Linked DNA regions of Saccharomyces cerevisiae S288C. Changing the gene in region 1 together with any one later gene gives a genetic interaction. Each region holds a gene or a part of one and is shown in the gene's direction. Other genes may lie near its edges. The genes, in order: YOR032W-A and AIM26.

Region 1 (10,082 bases):
TGCTGGTATCATCCGGACTGGCCGCTAAAAATAATACGAAATATAACTTTATTATCTTGAATTCTTTTTTTACTGCTTTTTCATACATACGTACATATAATGATCTTCTCACTTAGTATACTAAATTTGTTTCATGCTATGGTTGATATTTGAGAAATCGGAACTTGAAGATAATAAGTTTCTTGGGCGAGGGAAAAAAACATCGGACCATCTTTCCTGTCGTTCTCCGGATCAGCCCTAGGAAATTTCTGGCCGGAACTCTCCTTAGAAACAAAAAAAATTACGTAATTGGCACAACTTTACGTCAACAATATTCATTACATCAGAATGCGAAAAAAAAAAAGCGAGAATATCTAAGCTCCATGACAACATTCGCTAAGCTGAAAAAATTAGGGAAATAAACTTTTCAAATTGCTATGATATAATTTCGTTTCTTACTATGTATTTTCTACGTATATTTTTACACTCTTGACTCTTTCCTTTTTAGTAATGTGCCTGCCATAAAAAAAGGGAGATGAAGGAAAGAAAATAAAAATGGTGAAAATTAAGCTTTGTTGATTACCTAATACAAGCTGCCTGAAACTAGAAACCATAAATTGTTTCCTATCTCGTAATATTTTCGCCACCTTAGGCATCAATTTTCTTTGGAGAAGGGGGGTTGCATCCCCCTGAAGAAGTGCTTGCCATGTGCTTTGAAAACTTTTAAGATGTTACTAGTACTAATAATTATTCATTATTTTATTCTTTTAATTTCGACTTTAATGATTCAATCATTTTTTTCAATTCACTGTTTTCTTTCATCAAGCCATCGAATAGTTTTGATTTTTCTTCGAGATTTTTGATGTATTTCTCACGACGCTGCCTAAACGCCTTTTGTGCGCTTCGATTTTGGGCAGCTCTCTTAGTATTTCTTAAAGGTTTGCCTGTTTTACCGATCAACTGGCCATCATTGTTATATCTTTCGCCTTCGTTAAAAACCTGCTCTGAAAGAGAAACGGAAACTCGACGTCTTTCCTCTGAAGGAAGGTTAGTCGTGGCACTATTTTTTCTCGTAGCTGGGGTACTATTTGAGGGAAAATATGAAGCTGCCGGTTGGCTAGTAAATGTAGATGCAGTAGTGTAGGAAGATTCAAATGGTGCGTGTGATGCAGTGGTGTATGGATTAGAATTGAAGTGACAGTTTAAATGAGTATCTGATAGTTGCGGTCTAAGCTGGTATGTGTTCAGTCTTGGTAAAGACGGAGGAATCAAATTGTTTATTGTCACCGGCCTTGCAATATGTGGGCCCGCAGTATTTGGAACATCCTCACACAATGCTCCTATATTAACAGAATTTCTTCTTCCAGAAAGATCTGTAAGTGAGCCAGTTCTGCTCTCATAACCAGGCTCTTCAAGTGTTGCAATCTTTGGGAGCTGAATTTGCGGTAGAGTCACATTCGAAGCAACTACCGAAATTGTATGCAAATCAGCCTTGTTCTCCTCTTTAATAAACCCTACAGGAGGGCTTGGCACGAAAGCGGTATCCGTCATTTTTTTTGGCTTTGTACTGTCTCTTGTCATTGAATGGGAAGCTAAAATAGGTTGAAAATTAAAAGGATGATTGTCCATTTTTATTTGCATTAACATTTGAGTAGGTTTTTGGTTTTCCTTCTTGTTCCAAGCTGTTATTCTATATCTATGATGAGATTAACGGCTGCAAAAAGTCGTAGTTAATCAGTAAAATTATCTAATGAATTATTTGTAAGCAGAATGCGTGAGAAAAAATAAATCACCCAGTTCCTTTTTTATATACATGAACTTTGGTAATGATGCAGACATCAACTAGTTCTCGAGTGAGGAGGTATCCTTATCAAATCACTCTCTCCCTAGTATTGAAAGGGTTTTACTCGCCTTCTGCTCCTAGTTACGATTTTTGCCTAGTACTCCTTCCTACCCTCTTCCTCATAGATTTAATGCCAATAAAATTTTCTTTGCATGTCACCATTGGGATCGGTGAGGCAACTCCGGTTCCGATTTTTTTTTTTTCAGCGCCGTGGTATTTCCGCTCGGGAAATCCCCTCCCGCATTGCGTCAGAGCTTATCGATGTAAAGTTAATTTCCCTTTTTTTCGGTTGGGCTGGAGCACTTGGTTGCATTACTAACAAATTAACGAACAATAGTTTTAAAAGCAAGTGCCTTAAGATTTAGGTCATTCCTTCGAGGATTTCTGGGAACAATTTAAAGAATAACAGAAACTTTTGCGGCCCTTTTCATCATCTACGTGTTTTGTAAGAATGAGATCACATTCCACGTAGCCCTAAACATTGGCGTACATTTCCACTCGGAACCTTTTCTCGACCCCTCTCCGTACGCCAAGTTTTACCTTGAGGAGTAAGTCGTCAAAGGGGCGTGGGGCAGCCATTTCTTAGGAGGTGGGAAGACATGGCAGTGAGTGGGCCCTATGATTGCTGCTGCAGGGGACTTTTCAGGATAATCATGTAAACGATAAAACGGAAAAACAAAACTACGGACGTTGTTACCTTTCCATTTTGAAATGTTTCTCCGAAAAAATACCATTTTGCACAGTTCAACATTCTTGATGGCAAAAGCGAAGCATTGCGTCAACGGGTTAGATAAGTCATTTACTGTCAATTAGTACCAATACCTGTCTTTGCTCACCGAATGGCACTATACAGTGACGTTAAGATCTTGTAGTTGTTTTTCAAGAAGGCACTAAATAAGGTAATATATGGTGCCTTTCGCAATGACTCGTGTATCTGGCAGATCTATAGCTGCACACCTGATTTTTTTGCTATATTTGAATCAGGAGTAAGTTTGAACCATAATCATTCCAATTCAGTTTGATAGTACCTTTTTTTTAAAATTTTTGAAAGAGCTATCGCTTAGCTATCGGCGGGCATATTGAATTGCGCAGTAGATGAACATTTCACTAGTTGTGGCCAAAGAAGTTAGTTAAAAAGTGTAAATATGTCACAGTACTTATCCTTCTCTAAAGAATTAGTTTATTAAAAGCAGCAACAAGAAGAATGACTGTCAACCATTTTTAGGTCATTGCAACAAATCTCAAAATACGCTTTTATAGATAATCTAAGAAGATCGTTATATGGGAATACTAACAGTGAGAAAATGGAAGAAACGGGTTAGCGTAGAAAATTGTAATTAAAAAACAACAGTTTTAAGAAGGTGGTGGGCAATTAATACTTGAGGATTAATACTTAGAGCTTATTCAAAAAGAAAAGATAGAATTTCATGTAATACATGAGAACAATGTAAGGTTTTTAAGGTAACGAGTAACTAAGTTTTGAAATATCTTCACTAGCCTTGCAATCATCTTTTAGCTTTTCTATTTGCCGGATTCTTTACAACATAATCACGCTTTCTTCTAGTTGTAATTTTCCTTCTAGATGTCATTATTTCAACCGATGTCATTAATATCCTTTTATGGTGTTTACAAAAAGAAAGTTTCAAGTACCGCTCACCTACACTACGTTGTAATTCTTAGATACATAACTTTAGTTTTGTCGCCTATGTGCACAGATAAACAAAACAACCTATAAAATTTCCGTTGGGCCCTTTTGTCCCTGATTTCTGGTGTGTAACCCATTTATTTCTGTCCTGTAATAATTCGTCTTCGGTGATTGCCATATATACACAGTTTAGCTTTACTAACTATAAACATCCGAGAAGAAGAAAAAAGAAGGTCTGATTTCTATCAAACAACATGTGAAGATAACACAATCGATGTGATTGATATCAGATTTACTAGCCCCGTTGGATTGAAAAATCTGCAAGGAAGGGCTAAAGAGCAATATACTTTCTTTTGTTGTTTCGGGGTGATGAGAAAATTGTAACTTTTTTTTTTAACTTGGCGAGAAAATTGACTGGAAGAAGTGTCAAAGATAAGGCTTCTATCATATTCAAAACAAGTACCACCAAATGGCAGCTCAACTCCGAAGGCTCAAAAACAATACTTATTGATATTGCACTCACAAGCATTTTTTGTTGCGGAACGTCTTTACGTGCAAGATTAATGATCATAAGATTGCATTTTTACTACCTCCTCACTTTAGTTTACCATTTAGGACTTGTAGGTGCGTATGAAAAAGCAGCAAGAAAGAGAATTCAACCTCCCGATTTGATACCTGGTCCTCCGGGACATAAACTTGGTGATGAAAGACCACCGCATTACGACCACCGGCCACCTTATAAAAAACACATCGACAACATTCCAGCTTACAATCTGACTGATTTGATAGATGATAAACTACTAAATAAATATGAAAACTCATGCACGGTAAATGTATTGACAGGTGGCTTCATCTCTCTAGCAAGTAATTCGTGGCACTTACGTGCTTATAATTACACTTTAAATTACCCATCCTTTTTGATCCGATGCGATAATGGCAGTGCAAATCCTAATTTCTCTCATGTCTTACAAGACTTTGTTTATGACATCAACAACAAATTCAACGTTCAAGATGACAGTAGTAAATACATCGGAAAAGACCCATTTCCCTTAGGAATGATAATGATCACCTTTGCTTCTGGGTGTATCTGTGTGGCAACATGGATGCTATTTTTGGTTGTCTTATTACTGCCATCCGATAATCATAATAGAAGAAATAAAGTTGTACATGTTTACGTCCTTTTCTCTGCGATTATAAGAACTGTATTTCTAAACGAGACTATAGCCGTCATATTTGACAGCCAATATCACGATGACTACCAGGATGCGAGCCAATTTGAATCGTTCATCGTAGAAACTGCACCATATAAAATATGTGAATTAGTTGCAAATATTTTGAGTGATATAAACTGGATTTATATTGTTCACTACTTACAGTCCAATTATGGAAAACCAACTTGGAATTGGATCCCATTTAAAATGAAAAAGGGGACACATATCATAATTACCGTGGGTTGCTTCCTCTCACTAGCCGATAACATTTTATTCGCAAACCTTCTTTGGAGAAAGAACCTTGTAGTTTTGAAGGTATTTTACAAGCTAATCGAATTACTGATTTACACAATTTTCATCTCCATTATTTGTTACTTCACATGGCATAATTTTGCTTACATACTTTTACCGAAAACTGCTGAAATTAATACGGACGGTAAGTGTAAAACGAAATTGAGAATTCTTTGGGAAAATTATCACGAAACTATACCATTATTGGCGTATAATATTCTTATATTTATTTTATTCTATTTCACCACAATTTTTTTCGCTGCTTTCACCAAACATGTTAGAGGTTGGACATTTAACTTTGTTCATCTTTTGAAAGTTTTAATAACAGTGAACGTTTGGGGCTTAATTGGAGTATTGGAAAAGAGGGAGCTGCACATAAGCAAAAAAACAGTCCTTGGACGAAAAATTAACAATAGGGACAAATTTTTCGCCAATCCAACAGTCAATTATTACGGAGAAGATTTAGGCAAGCATTTAAGCGCCATAACGTTAAACAGGGATTTAAACACTACTAAAAGTAACACTACTTCCCACGATTCATCAAGTTTAGTAGGATCCCCTTCACCCACCTGGAAATCTCCAATCGAAAGAATAAGGGACAGAAGAAGAAGACATAAGATAATGAAAAGTGAGAATAAATTTGGGCAAAATCCCAGTTTTGGAAGTAAATCGAATGGCAAACCTAATACTAAAACGACATTATCCAAATATCGACAGCTATTAAGGAAGCCTAGGCGAAAAACCAATTCATATGAACCAAAAAATGGCATTGGACAGAATAAAGAAGGCTCAACTGTTAGACCAGGAGCCGACAAACATATTAGAGATTCCAATTATCTAGCTACAGACATCAGTGACAACGAAAGTATGGAAACCGAACTTCGAACCAACCACATTTATAATTACGAAAATAGTGATTAAGGCAGGCCCAGTGGACGAAAAGACATAACTGCAGAAGTACAGCTGCCTTTATTTCTTGTGGTCATTTATTGCTTTTATTTTCAAGTCAGATATACAAGAAAATCAAATCCCATCGTCAACGTCACGTATAAACGATTAATTTACAGTAATACCATACTCTACCAACATTATTTTAGTCCGACGTTCAGTCCTGTAGGTGTTCCAAATCCTTCTGGCATTGACTTCTGTGCAGAAACCCTTCAAAATGAGTTCCACTTTACGTCAGATCGCATAACAACCGGTCATATATTTTTTTCTTTTGCTAAACCCCCTACTGCAAGCACTTTTAAGAAAAAGAACAATAAATGCGTCTTTATTGCTGTGTGGAAGTGATTTTTGTCTTTCGGACAAAAAAAGGATAGGGATGCGAGAGGGCTGTGAAGTAGTGATCAAGCGGGGCCTATATAAGAAGGGCGCACATCGTCCCCCCTAAGAATAGCGAAGCGATATTACACTGAACACTACAATGTCAAATAGTACTCAATAAATATGACTGTAAAAATATGTGACTGTTAAGGCGAATGTTGTAAGGACTCTTGTCATTGTGGGAGCACCTGCCTTCCAAGCTGTTCTGGCGGTGAAAAGTGCAAATGTGATCACAGCACCGGAAGCCCTCAATGTAAGAGTTGTGGTGAAAAATGCAAATGCGAAACCACGTGCACTTGTGAAAAGAGTAAATGCAATTGTGAAAAATGTTAGGTGACCCCTACTCTTTACTTATCATAAATACATCATCATATTTTACCCTTAATTAACAACATTTATTTAACTGCATGAACTAAATATAAGGTATAGTTTCTTTTTCCCGGAATCTTTTTTTTAGATCGTTATTATTTAGACGGCACTAAGAGAAATAAATTAAACTAAATTACGGTGCGGAGCTCAAGGCATCTGCGAGTGTTTACTAACACTAAAAGAGATGAATAAAATAGATTTCTCAATGCAAAATTAAAATTACAATGTTACGCATACACACAAGTACAGATTTGTATATAGTATTTCTTCTTCGTTTTATCTGTCGTGTTGAAACATTTTGTTGTTCAAGTATTAAAAGTCTCCTGCGTTGTTAAAATCCATATCATGTGAATTGTTGGTGCCGCTCATGAGGCCGTTTTGATGTGGAATATTATATTGAATGTTATGCAATGGTTGTTGTTGTCGTGGCTGCCGCTGCCGTTGGCGTTGGCAGCTTCTGGTTTGCTTTTGTACTTGTTCACTACTACTGTTGTCACTCAACGGTTGAGATGGCTCGGTAAGATGGACGAAAGAATCCCGTGTGTCATTTGATAAATGTTGATTAGCCAAGCTTAGCTGTAGGCACTTTCTTTCTAAATGACAAATATATTCAATAGATTTCGTTAAAATGGACGCCTTATTCAATTTTGTTGCTGGCTCTAGGCCATCTAAGTCTGCTAGGTCTCTAGATGTAATGGGAAGATCGTTACATTTTTTATACGCTACTCGTAGCGTTGGGACAGTTCTCCTTAATTGTTCAATTTTATCATTAATATTGGAACGGTATTTCTTTTCAATTATATTGTGTGATACCCTTCCTGTCCTCACCCTTGTTATTCTTTTGGGTTTAACATGAAAATGTTTCCGTATAGGTGAAGTTTTTAACTTGAAGCTCATACTGTCAGCATTGTCAATATTCTCCAAATTCAAAGATGATTTAATCTCGTCTGCAGTAACTAAGGGAGACTCTGTCTTCGATAAAGGCAAAAAATTTTCAAAGCCAGACAATTGTTCCTTTTTCACGATTGAAGCTGCTGAAAGAAGACTCGAGTCCTTTTCAGATTTAAGATCGGTTTGCTTTACATTATCAATGTTTTCATTTTCCTCGCTACTAAAGACTTCCATGTTATCAATGTATTCTTCGCTGTCAATAGTATTGCCATTGTCTGTAGTCATTGTAGTACTACCCGTCGTTGTTGTAGGTATAGAAGCCAGAGCATCATTATAGTAATTACTATCAATTACTGGAGTGTGGCCTGAAGTATTAGGAAACGAGGAGTCACTATACTGGTCTGTGGCAGAATATGTGTTGTTCTTATATACAGGAGGCACGGGAGGTTGAAGATGGATGGGATGCTGAAATGGAGCGTAATAAGCATGCGTCGGAGGTCCTTGAGAACCCAAATCCTCGGTATTGTAATTTGGTGGCGGCACGTTGTAATTGTTACTTTGAAACATTAAATACATTTGGTTCGTGGTTACATTTACATTCTGCTCTTCGCTGCCATCTTGAGCACTTCTACAATCAAAAACCTTGATGGCGACTTTATTACCTAGGTCGTTCATTACAGAATTGCCATCCGAAGAACCAGAAAAAGGTTTTTGAAAATTTGGCATTTCCAATTTATACTCTTATCGTTGCTAAAATGAGTCGTGTACTGCAACTGCTCTATATTCTATATTCTAAGCGAATGGGTGGGTGGGTGTGACTAACTATTAAACTACCTAAGCGATCTCGAGAGCCAAGGCGAGTAGTAGAAATAAAACTAGAAGCGCGCTTTACAGGTTTGACCTTAAGTATGATGCGATAAGACACTTACATAGGACGATTTTTGAGGCTTACAATGTGTAACCAAGGTATATAAAAGGTGCTGCTGCTCTTGGGAAAAATACAAAGAAAACGCCTACGGTAAAAATACAATACCAGCTATTTTTTTCTTTTGAGAAGCCCACTCAAAGTAAAAATTAAACAATGATGGAAAAGAACGGAAAAAAGTTCAAACAGAAAATTAAAATACAGCAGAGAAGACTAGGCACAACAAAGTGGGATTGTGTCTACGCTTTTAACGGTGTACCCTTTTTCCTCGCCACGTTTTCACTCAGATCTAAATCTCTGCTGTAATTTACAGCGGCATAAGAAGGCACGTCCCCTGAAAGTAGGCTAGCCAGAAAACAAAAAGGCCAGAATCGGCGCGGAACTTCTCGTATCGAGAGCAAATGAGGGGTGCGGCACACAGTAGGAAAGGGTAACTGATTAACATACGTACACCCCGGCATAAAAGCTTCTGCAGGCTTTGTAGGCAAGAGACACTGCGGAGAATAAAAGGTTGTGACGCCCAATACCTTCGCCGGACTCCTTCTTGGCGTTCACAAAAGACGATGCTGCAGCATTTTTTTCTTGCGTCGAACTCGCGCCCACAGCAACGAGACGGTTCCGTTCCTTCCCGTAATGTTGCTTTGATTAACAAAATTCTCGTTTCCTCAGTTCTGTGAGCCCGTTTGTCAGCAGAGGAATCCCAATGAAGAAAATTTTTTCTGGAAAGTAAAAGCGAGCGAAAAGTTTAAGGTTCAGATTGCATCACTATTCGTTCAGTTGATAGCGAATGTAGACCGCTAGCGGCTTGATTAGATAAATAGAGTGGGTTAAAAAAAAGGAAAAAAAAAATGTGAATTGCACATGCCCAGCGCGCTCGCAAAACATATAAAGTTGTCCTCACATGCGGCGTGCATTGTTCATAGCGGGGCAAACATACTTGTGGCTTAATTTGACACATCTACTTTTAATCTTTTCTTGGTCTAGTACAATGGCTTTTTCCCAAAGTAGAAGGCTTCTTACTCCAACCGTACCCTGTCCTACTTTACTGGGCATTGATTTTTTAATTCTTGTCTTGAGGCATTTCGACGAGATTTTCATTTGAAAAATATACCTCCGATATGAAACGTGCAGTACTTAACTTTTATTTACCTTTATAAACAAATTGGGAAAGCAAGGAGATAGATCTGACTGCCGGCCGAGCTTGGCTTGACTTAGTAGTTTCGATGTCCCTTTTCTTACTTTCCTCATGCAAAATTGGTGATGAATTGAATGATTTTCGTTCATCTACGCTTTTCATGTCAATCACAATTCTCTGTGACCTGGCACCAATAAGGCTTTTTCGCAGTGATGGCCTTTGCGTGATTTGATTTTTACCATCGTTATCGTCGCAATCATCATCTCTATTTTGATTGACGTATACCATTCCTCTACTTTTTTGATTAACGTGCCGAGGAAATAGTGGTTGTCTATTTGCATTAACTCCGCTGAATGAAGATGAATATCTAAACTTTTGTAAAACTTTTGTGCACCCCGATATACTCCTCTGGGATGACCCGGGAAATGAGGTGGTGCTGCTCGTGGGAACTCTTGATTCCGCAGTTT
Region 2 (8,048 bases), on another chromosome or scaffold:
GTATATACGTAGTGCCAATTTTCTTCTATGGTGTATTATGCGCATTGAACATTGTAATATCCGTAATGTTGAACATAATTTGGGAATTGCTTCCGAATCTTCAACCTTCATGTATACCTCTTTTCGGCTAGAGTGTGGTACTTTAATTACTGCTTAGTTGTTTTGCCCGATTTAGATATTGCACCCGTGCACGTCACACATAAGCTTGGTCTTTTAAATAGTGTGTGAAAAAACGAACTTGAAGAAAAAGATAGAGCAAGATATATATAGGAGTAGGAATAGGGAGAGTGGAAAAAAAAACTTAGCCTCAAACTAATAGTCAAGAGGATCAACTATTCTGTTCAGGTTTTGCAGGTTAAAAATTGAAATAGAATATTTTCTCGGTAATTTCAAGAAACAGCTGGTAAAAAGGCAGTAAATTTACAGAAACTAAGAGTGTAAGGGCACAATGAGAGTATATCAGTTTTGCCGACCTTTCCAATTATTCACCTGCTTCTTATGCTACCTTCTAGTGTTCGTAAAAGCTAACAAGGAAAAGATAAGTCAAAAGAATTATCAAGTATGCGCAGGTATGTATTCCAAAGAAGATTGGAAGGGCAAAATAGACCCGTTTATATCATTCAATCTTAAAAAAATAAGTGGATTGAGTGATGAGTCTGATCCAGGCTTAGTCGTTGCAATCTATGATTTCCAAGACTTTGAGCACTTAGGTGTGCAATTGCCGGATGAAGAAATGTATTATATTTGTGATGATTATGCAATTGATATCGGGATTTGTGAAGAGGAGAATCGTGATGAGTTTATTGTTCAAGATGTTGTATATGATCCATATACTTCCACAAATAGATCTTTGGCCAATCCAATCATGACGTTTTCTCAAAATGAGGTCGGCCTTCATGATACTAGATACCCAATAAAAGAAACCGGATTTTATTGTGTTACTGCGTTCAGATCATCGACGTCTACCAAGTTCAACGCTGTGGTGAATTTCAGGAATGCTTATGGTCAGCTTGCGGGCACCGAGATCAACAAATTGCCACTATATGGTCTTTTGGCGGTCGCATACGTTGTGGCGATGGCGTTATATTCCTTCGCCTTCTGGAAGCACAAGCATGAATTGTTACCATTACAAAAGTATTTGCTGGCCTTTTTTGTATTTTTAACCGCAGAAACCATATTTGTATGGGCTTACTATGATTTGAAAAATGAAAAAGGTGATACTGCGGGAATAAAAGTTTATATGGTGTTCTTGTCGATATTGACGGCTGGTAAAGTTACATTTTCATTTTTCCTATTATTGATTATCGCTTTGGGCTACGGTATCGTGTACCCTAAGTTGAATAAAACGTTGATGAGGCGTTGCCAAATGTATGGTGCGTTAACTTATGCAATTTGCATTGGATTTTTGATCCAAAGTTATTTGACCGACATGGAGGCACCATCTCCACTAATCTTGATCACCTTGATTCCTATGGCGCTTGCATTAATCATATTTTACTACATGATTATTAGATCCATGACAAAAACAGTTATCTATTTGAAAGAGCAAAGGCAGATCGTAAAATTGAACATGTACAAGAAGCTACTATACATCATTTATGCGTCCTTTTTGAGTGTACTAGCTGGTAGTATAGTTTCGTCATTTATTTACGTTGGCATGAACACTATTGATATGATTGAGAAGAACTGGAGGTCAAGGTTCTTCGTTACTGATTTCTGGCCTACGTTAGTGTATTTCATTGTTTTCGTTACCATCGCGTTCTTATGGAGACCAACAGATACTTCATACATGCTAGCCGCATCCCAACAACTACCCACAGACCCAGAAAATGTCGCGGACTTTGACTTGGGCGATTTGCAATCGTTTGACGATCAAGATGACGCAAGTATCATCACTGGTGAGCGTGGCATAGACGAGGATGACCTCAATTTGAATTTTACTGATGATGAAGAAGGACACGATAATGTAAATAACCATAGCCAAGGCCACGGGCCAGTGTCTCCCTCTCCAACAAAATAACGCTACCTCCAGCAGATTTGATTAGGTGATGAGACAAATAGTTTCTTCGAGGGCAGTCACGAAATGTTTACAAGCGAAAAGAAAGAAATTATGAACCATATGCACTTCTGTTCAATGCGATGTGAATATGAATATGAATATAAATATGAATATAAATAAATAAATAAATAAATGCGTTGCACGTTTCTTTTCATTTATTTGTGCGTGCTTTTACCTGTTTATAACTGTAGTCACCAAAGCTATGCTATACTCTAGACCTAACTTTTTCGTTTTGTATTTATTTAGCCGCTCGCTGGAGTTTTTTTTTTTTCGGTGATAAGATGATTTATATCAAACCGAAACAAGCGAAAAGTTTCTGTTCATCGACTATAAAATGGAAGAGAAAATTGGTCCATAGACTTTTCATGTGTACTTGTTTATGAGAAGAGACGCAGGAAGACCAGAAGTGAGGAATTCCCTTTGTTCAAGGATGAACAACGAAGCCAGATAACGTAAGGTTGCGCGCTGCATCAGTGCTAACCTTATTAGCTTTCTCTGGCTTTTTCGGTCTTTCCTATGTAACATAACATGTATATTCTATTTGTTTATGATGAGACCACGTCCTTAGTGACAATGCTATAAACCCAGCTCTTCGATTCGTTTTTAATGAAAGGGAGAAGATTTTTTTGTCAAACGCTCTGAGTAATAGAATATACATGCGACAACATTTGTAGTTACTTGTCTTACGCTTCCTAGGGAACGGATCATCCGAGTAGAATATCATTTTACGGGATCACTTTATTCGGTGTGATTGCTCGTTAAGCCGCACGACCATTTTATGGGCACGCTTCCGCAAGTTGGTTCTTTCATCAGAAGCTTTACCACGATTGGCAAGTCATGTAGCATGTGCGCTAACATCGTTTATCGTTTTCTGTGACGTGGCTTATGAGCACCAGAGACGAATAATCAACAGTACATCAAACAAAAGCTACGTCACCTCACCAATAATCCGAGCTTCTTGAAATGGCAGGTATTGGATTCATAAAATATGTCGCTGCTTTGTGCATTTTCCTTTAGTTTTTTCCTTTTTTTTCATGTAGCTAACTAAGCAAGACGATTATGGGAAGGGACCTTTTAAGGAAAAACAGGAAAAAAAAATAGTAGCAACTAGTAAAAATTCAAAAAATAAAAAAAGTCAAAATAAGAACACATCAGTTAGGAACCGTGCTTGGAGTTTTGAGACTGGAGTATTGTCCATCCAACATATTCTGCTCTTTCACCATAGACTTCGTTGGAAATCGCCTCTCCCTTGTACTATATTGTGCAGAACCGTTCCCGCAATTTTCATTGGTGCAATAATAACACGCTTCTTCGATTCTCACATTTGTCAAGAAGCTGTACTCTTCTCTCAAACTCCAATATATTTCAAATTATGAACGAGCTGAACACTGTTTCGACTAACTCCAGTGACTCCACCAAGAACGGTGGTACATCCAATAGTCCCGACGATATGGACTCCGCAGCAGCAGCAAGTCACGCAATAAAGAAAAGAACAAAGGCCTCCCGGGCCTGCGATCAGTGTCGTAAAAAGAAGATTAAATGTGACTACAAAGATGAAAAGGGGGTCTGCTCAAACTGCCAAAGGAATGGAGACCGTTGTAGTTTTGATAGGGTTCCTTTGAAAAGGGGACCCTCGAAAGGCTATACGAGGAGCACCAGCCATCCAAGGACTAACGAAATACAAGACCACAATAACTCAAGGTCGTATAATACGTTTGATAATAGTAACAATACCCTGAATAATAATACGGGCAATAGCGGCGACAACGGTATAAACAGTAACACAGTTCCAAGTACCCCTTCGAGATCTAATTCAGTTTTATTGCCCCCACTGACACAGTACATTCCCCAGGCTGGTGGCATTCCTCCTAGTTTCCAAAATCCAGCGATACAATCAACTATGCCCGCGGGTAATATTGGCCAACAGCAGTTTTGGAAAGTGCCCTACCATGAGTTTCAACACCAAAGAAAAGGATCTATCGATTCTTTGCAAAGTGATATATCGGTAAGAACATTAAATCCCAACGAGCAGTTGTCTTATAACACCGTTCAACAGTCTCCCATAACGAATAAACATACTAATGATTCTGGAAATGCAAACGGAAGTGTCACCGGCTCAGGCAGTGCCTCTGGTAGTGGTGGTTATTGGTCCTTTATAAGAACTTCTGGTTTACTAGCTCCTACTGATGATCATAATGGGGAACAGACAAGAAGATCAAGTTCCATACCTTCTTTGCTACGAAATACTTCAAATTCTCTTTTACTAGGTGGCCAGCCTCAGCTTCCCCCACCTCAGCAACAATCGCAGCCACAAGCACACCAACAAAAGTTGCAACAAGGACAGAACCTATACTCGTATTCTCAATTTTCCCAGCAGCAACCGTACAACCCATCGATATCATCTTTTGGCCAGTTCGCTGCTAATGGTTTTCATTCTAGACAAGGATCAGTCGCCAGCGAGGCTATGTCTCCCAGTGCACCTGCCATGTTTACTAGCACATCTACAAACCCCGTAAATGTTGCACAGCAAACACAAAGACCTCAAGGACAGCAGGTACCGCAATTTTCATCTGAGTTGGATGGAAATAAAAGGCGACAATCAGCCCCCGTATCAGTAACATTATCCACGGACAGGCTGAATGGTAATGAGAATAATAATGGTGAAATTAACAACAATAATGGCAGCAATAATAGCGGTTCTTCTAAGGATACATCTCAACATTCCCAAGAATCTGTAACTACACCAGCGGCTTTGGAAGCATCCAGCCCTGGATCAACGCCACAGAGAAGTACAAAAAAACGCAGAAAAAGTTACGTATCTAAGAAGACAAAACCAAAGAGAGATTCATCTATATCTATAACATCGAAAGATTCTGCTCACCCAATGACCACTTCATCAACTATCGCGTATGGACAGATATCCGATGTAGATCTAATAGACACCTACTATGAGTTCATACATGTAGGATTTCCGATCATACCTTTAAACAAAACGACCTTGACCAGTGACTTATTGTTAGTTAACACACAGCCAATTTCCAATATACACGAAGTCAATTCATATGTTATTTTGTGGTTTAGAAATTCATTGGAATTGTTAGTTCGTGTTGCTCTGAAACAAAAGCCAGGTGGCAAGTTTTTCGATAATATTGTTGGCGTGGCTTTGTCGCCAAGTAATGACAACAACAAAGCTGGGTTCACTACAGCCACGGCAAGGGATGATGCTGAAAAAACAAGACGTGATTCACATAATGAAGTACAGGATACTTTGGAAGTGCAAAGCGTTTTTATTGCCGCCCTCAATGAATGTTTCCAAAAAATCGTGGATATTCATCCCAAATTCAGAGAAAACAACGACCAAATTTCGCCGAAGATCAAAGTCATTTATTTATCTACTTTTATTCTTTTAAATTACATTTTGGCATTTGTTGGATACGATAACTCATTTGTACTTGGAATGTCGGTGACAATTTTTAACGAATTTAAATTATACAAACTTCTATTATTTCCGGAGCCGGATATAAATGATGTGAAGCCTCCAGTTGATGAAGAGGTCAGCACTGGTAATGGGAATACAAAAACGTCCGAATTTGAAATTGGATCTGAAAGTGCTGGGCATATGAATCCATCCAATTCACCAAATTCCATGGACGAAAACATTAGTCACTATTCAGTGTTGTTTAAAAGATTATACGTTTTGCTTTCAGTGTTTGATTCTTTACAAAGCTGTGCATTCGGTGGTCCCAAGCTATTAAACATTTCCATCCAAGGTTCTACAGAAAGATTTTTTTCTAATGATTTGGGCTCAAAATGGTGCCTGGAACAAAGCCAATTGAGACTGAAAAGCGTCTTGCAAAGCTTGAAATTGGGTGAATTGATGAGTGAGCTTACCAGGAATAGAATATCAATGAACGGCAATAGGAAGCCTGGGTTCGATATTACGAACTCGTCTTCACTCTTATCGGAATATGTGGAAACTCAACCTCTATCCGTAGCACAGTTATTTTGCAAGCTATTAATTGGCAAACACAATTTCATCAATTGCTTATTATCATTATACGATTCAGAAGCAGGAGTCTATTCAGATTTGACATTGGATTTGAGTTCGAAAATAGCAGACTCTCTGTGCTCATTGATATCAATAATTTTGCAAGTATTGACGTTGATATTAAGACTGAATCCTACGAACAGTATTGATTTTAATTATAGACCACCGAACCCACCCGCTAATAATCCGACAGTGCAAGAGGGCCCATCTGCTATGGGCTCGTCTCCAGTCGCTGGGAACCTTAGCGCTGCACCTCCATCGGAGGGGAATCCAGATTTTTACAAGAAATTACTAGGCCTGAAACAAGACACTGGCACTATCCTTTCAGACCTTTGCCGGGGGATAATTTCCCCCTTTGCTATTGCTATCCTGCACGAGGTCTACAACATCACTGAACTGGTCAAGCAGATGCCTACATCACTCATTAGCATTATGATGACGGCAACTACAACGCAGAATACTCAGGACACCAAGAAGTCGCAGGACCTGGTCATGAAGCTGTCAAACTCGATGAATGAAGTAGTTCAAATCACCAGCGTGCTGACAATGATCAAGCCATTCAAGATCTTCGAGCACGAGCTTAATAAGCCCATAATGTCCCTGACAGGAGGACTTTCGTCCACGACCAGAAACGACGTCATGTGGCCAAAGTCGGGCCAAGGCCTCCGCGAGTCATCAGTCATGAAGACATTGCTTGATGAACGCCGTACTTCTGGTACACAACCGACAACGGCGCCAGTAGCCGCAGAGGAACCCAGGCTTGAGAACGTTGCCCTGGAAAATTTCGTTAGTATCGGCTGGAAGCTGTTGGACGATTCCGAGTTAGGCTGGTATTGACAGGTAACTATGCTCCCTTCTCCTGTAGGTCAGGTTCTCCCTTCTCCTCAGGCAGAAATTCGCGTAAAGAACTACCATGCAATGAATGACCAATTTAAGTAAAACACATAAATAATACTTACTTACACATATACACACTAGCTGTTTTAACCTGTAACAATACTGCCTTGTCAGAGTGCGCACGGCCTTTTACTCTGGTGCTCCACCATCTTCCACGGTATTCGAGAGTCGCCAAGCTCAGGGGCGCATGCAGACAATGGGCGGGGAGCACCTTCTTCTTTCACAGCTAAAGGGGTCTTTCTTTCTCCTACTTTTGGCATACTTTTTCAGGGGCAGAAGTCCTTATTACGCACGTTGCTACCGCCGGCTTGCTGTTACACCTGGTGCCATCACTATTGCCATTGCCATTGCTACAGATTCAATTCCGGCGCTTGCAAAGTCCAAAGTTCTGGTGTCGGTTTGTTCTCACACAGATCCCTGTACAGCGTCTTGTAACCTGATCCCCTTCCCCCGCCCCTTCTCGAACAGCCTGACGCGCTTCCTCTTTTGTTTGGGCTCGGCCCGTTTTTGCATTTCCTTTCCCTGTTTTGGATTGAGTATATAAATCTAAACAAACAACAAAGTTCTTCCAGCAGGTACCATGAGATTGAAGTTACGGTTTTAGGAGTTGGAGATTCAATTTCTGGTTCTTTCCACATCAGCAACGTTAAAAGGCCTAGTCCTCTTCCGATTATATAATATAACTTCCACAGCAAGTGTACCATAACATAATAATGTCCACTAAGAAGCACACCAAAACACATTCCACTTATGCATTCGAGAGCAACACAAACAGCGTTGCTGCCTCACAAATGAGAAACGCCTTAAACAAGTTGGCGGACTCTAGTAAACTTGACGATGCTGCTCGCGCTAAGTTTGAGAACGAACTGGATTCGTTTTTCACGCTTTTCAGGAGATATTTGGTAGAGAAGTCTTCTAGAACCACCTTGGAATGGGACAAGATCAAGTCTCCCAACCCGGATGAAGTGGTTAAGTATGAAATTATTTCTCAGCAGCCCGAGAATGTCTCAAACCTTTCCAAATTGGCTGTTTTGAAGTTGAACG

What was found.
Region 2: mutations in YOR032W-A (region 1) and AIM26 together harm fitness more than expected from each alone (negative genetic interaction), as found in Saccharomyces cerevisiae (one large-scale study listed by BioGRID).

Annotation. Positions count from the first base shown.
Region 1 is NC_001147.6:382,795-392,876, forward strand, and holds YOR032W-A (uncharacterized protein), read left to right. Parts: upstream 1-9,381; coding exon 9,382-9,582; downstream 9,583-10,082. Other genes in the region: Hsp90 cochaperone STI1, read left to right, coding at 1-28; CIN5 (Cin5p), read right to left, coding at 739-1,626; YOR029W (uncharacterized protein), read left to right, coding at 1,806-2,141; DFG16 (Dfg16p), read left to right, coding at 4,031-5,890; HMS1 (Hms1p), read right to left, coding at 6,977-8,281; Rad2 family nuclease EXO1, read right to left, coding at 9,622-10,082.
Region 2 is NC_001143.9:362,174-370,221, forward strand, and holds AIM26 (Aim26p), read left to right. Parts: upstream 1-7,191; coding exon 7,192-7,548; downstream 7,549-8,048. Other genes in the region: PTM1 (Ptm1p), read left to right, coding at 449-2,020; RGT1 (Rgt1p), read left to right, coding at 3,432-6,944; UGP1 (UTP glucose-1-phosphate uridylyltransferase), read left to right, coding at 7,718-8,048. UniProt on the Saccharomyces cerevisiae protein: Involved in selective mitochondria autophagy (mitophagy).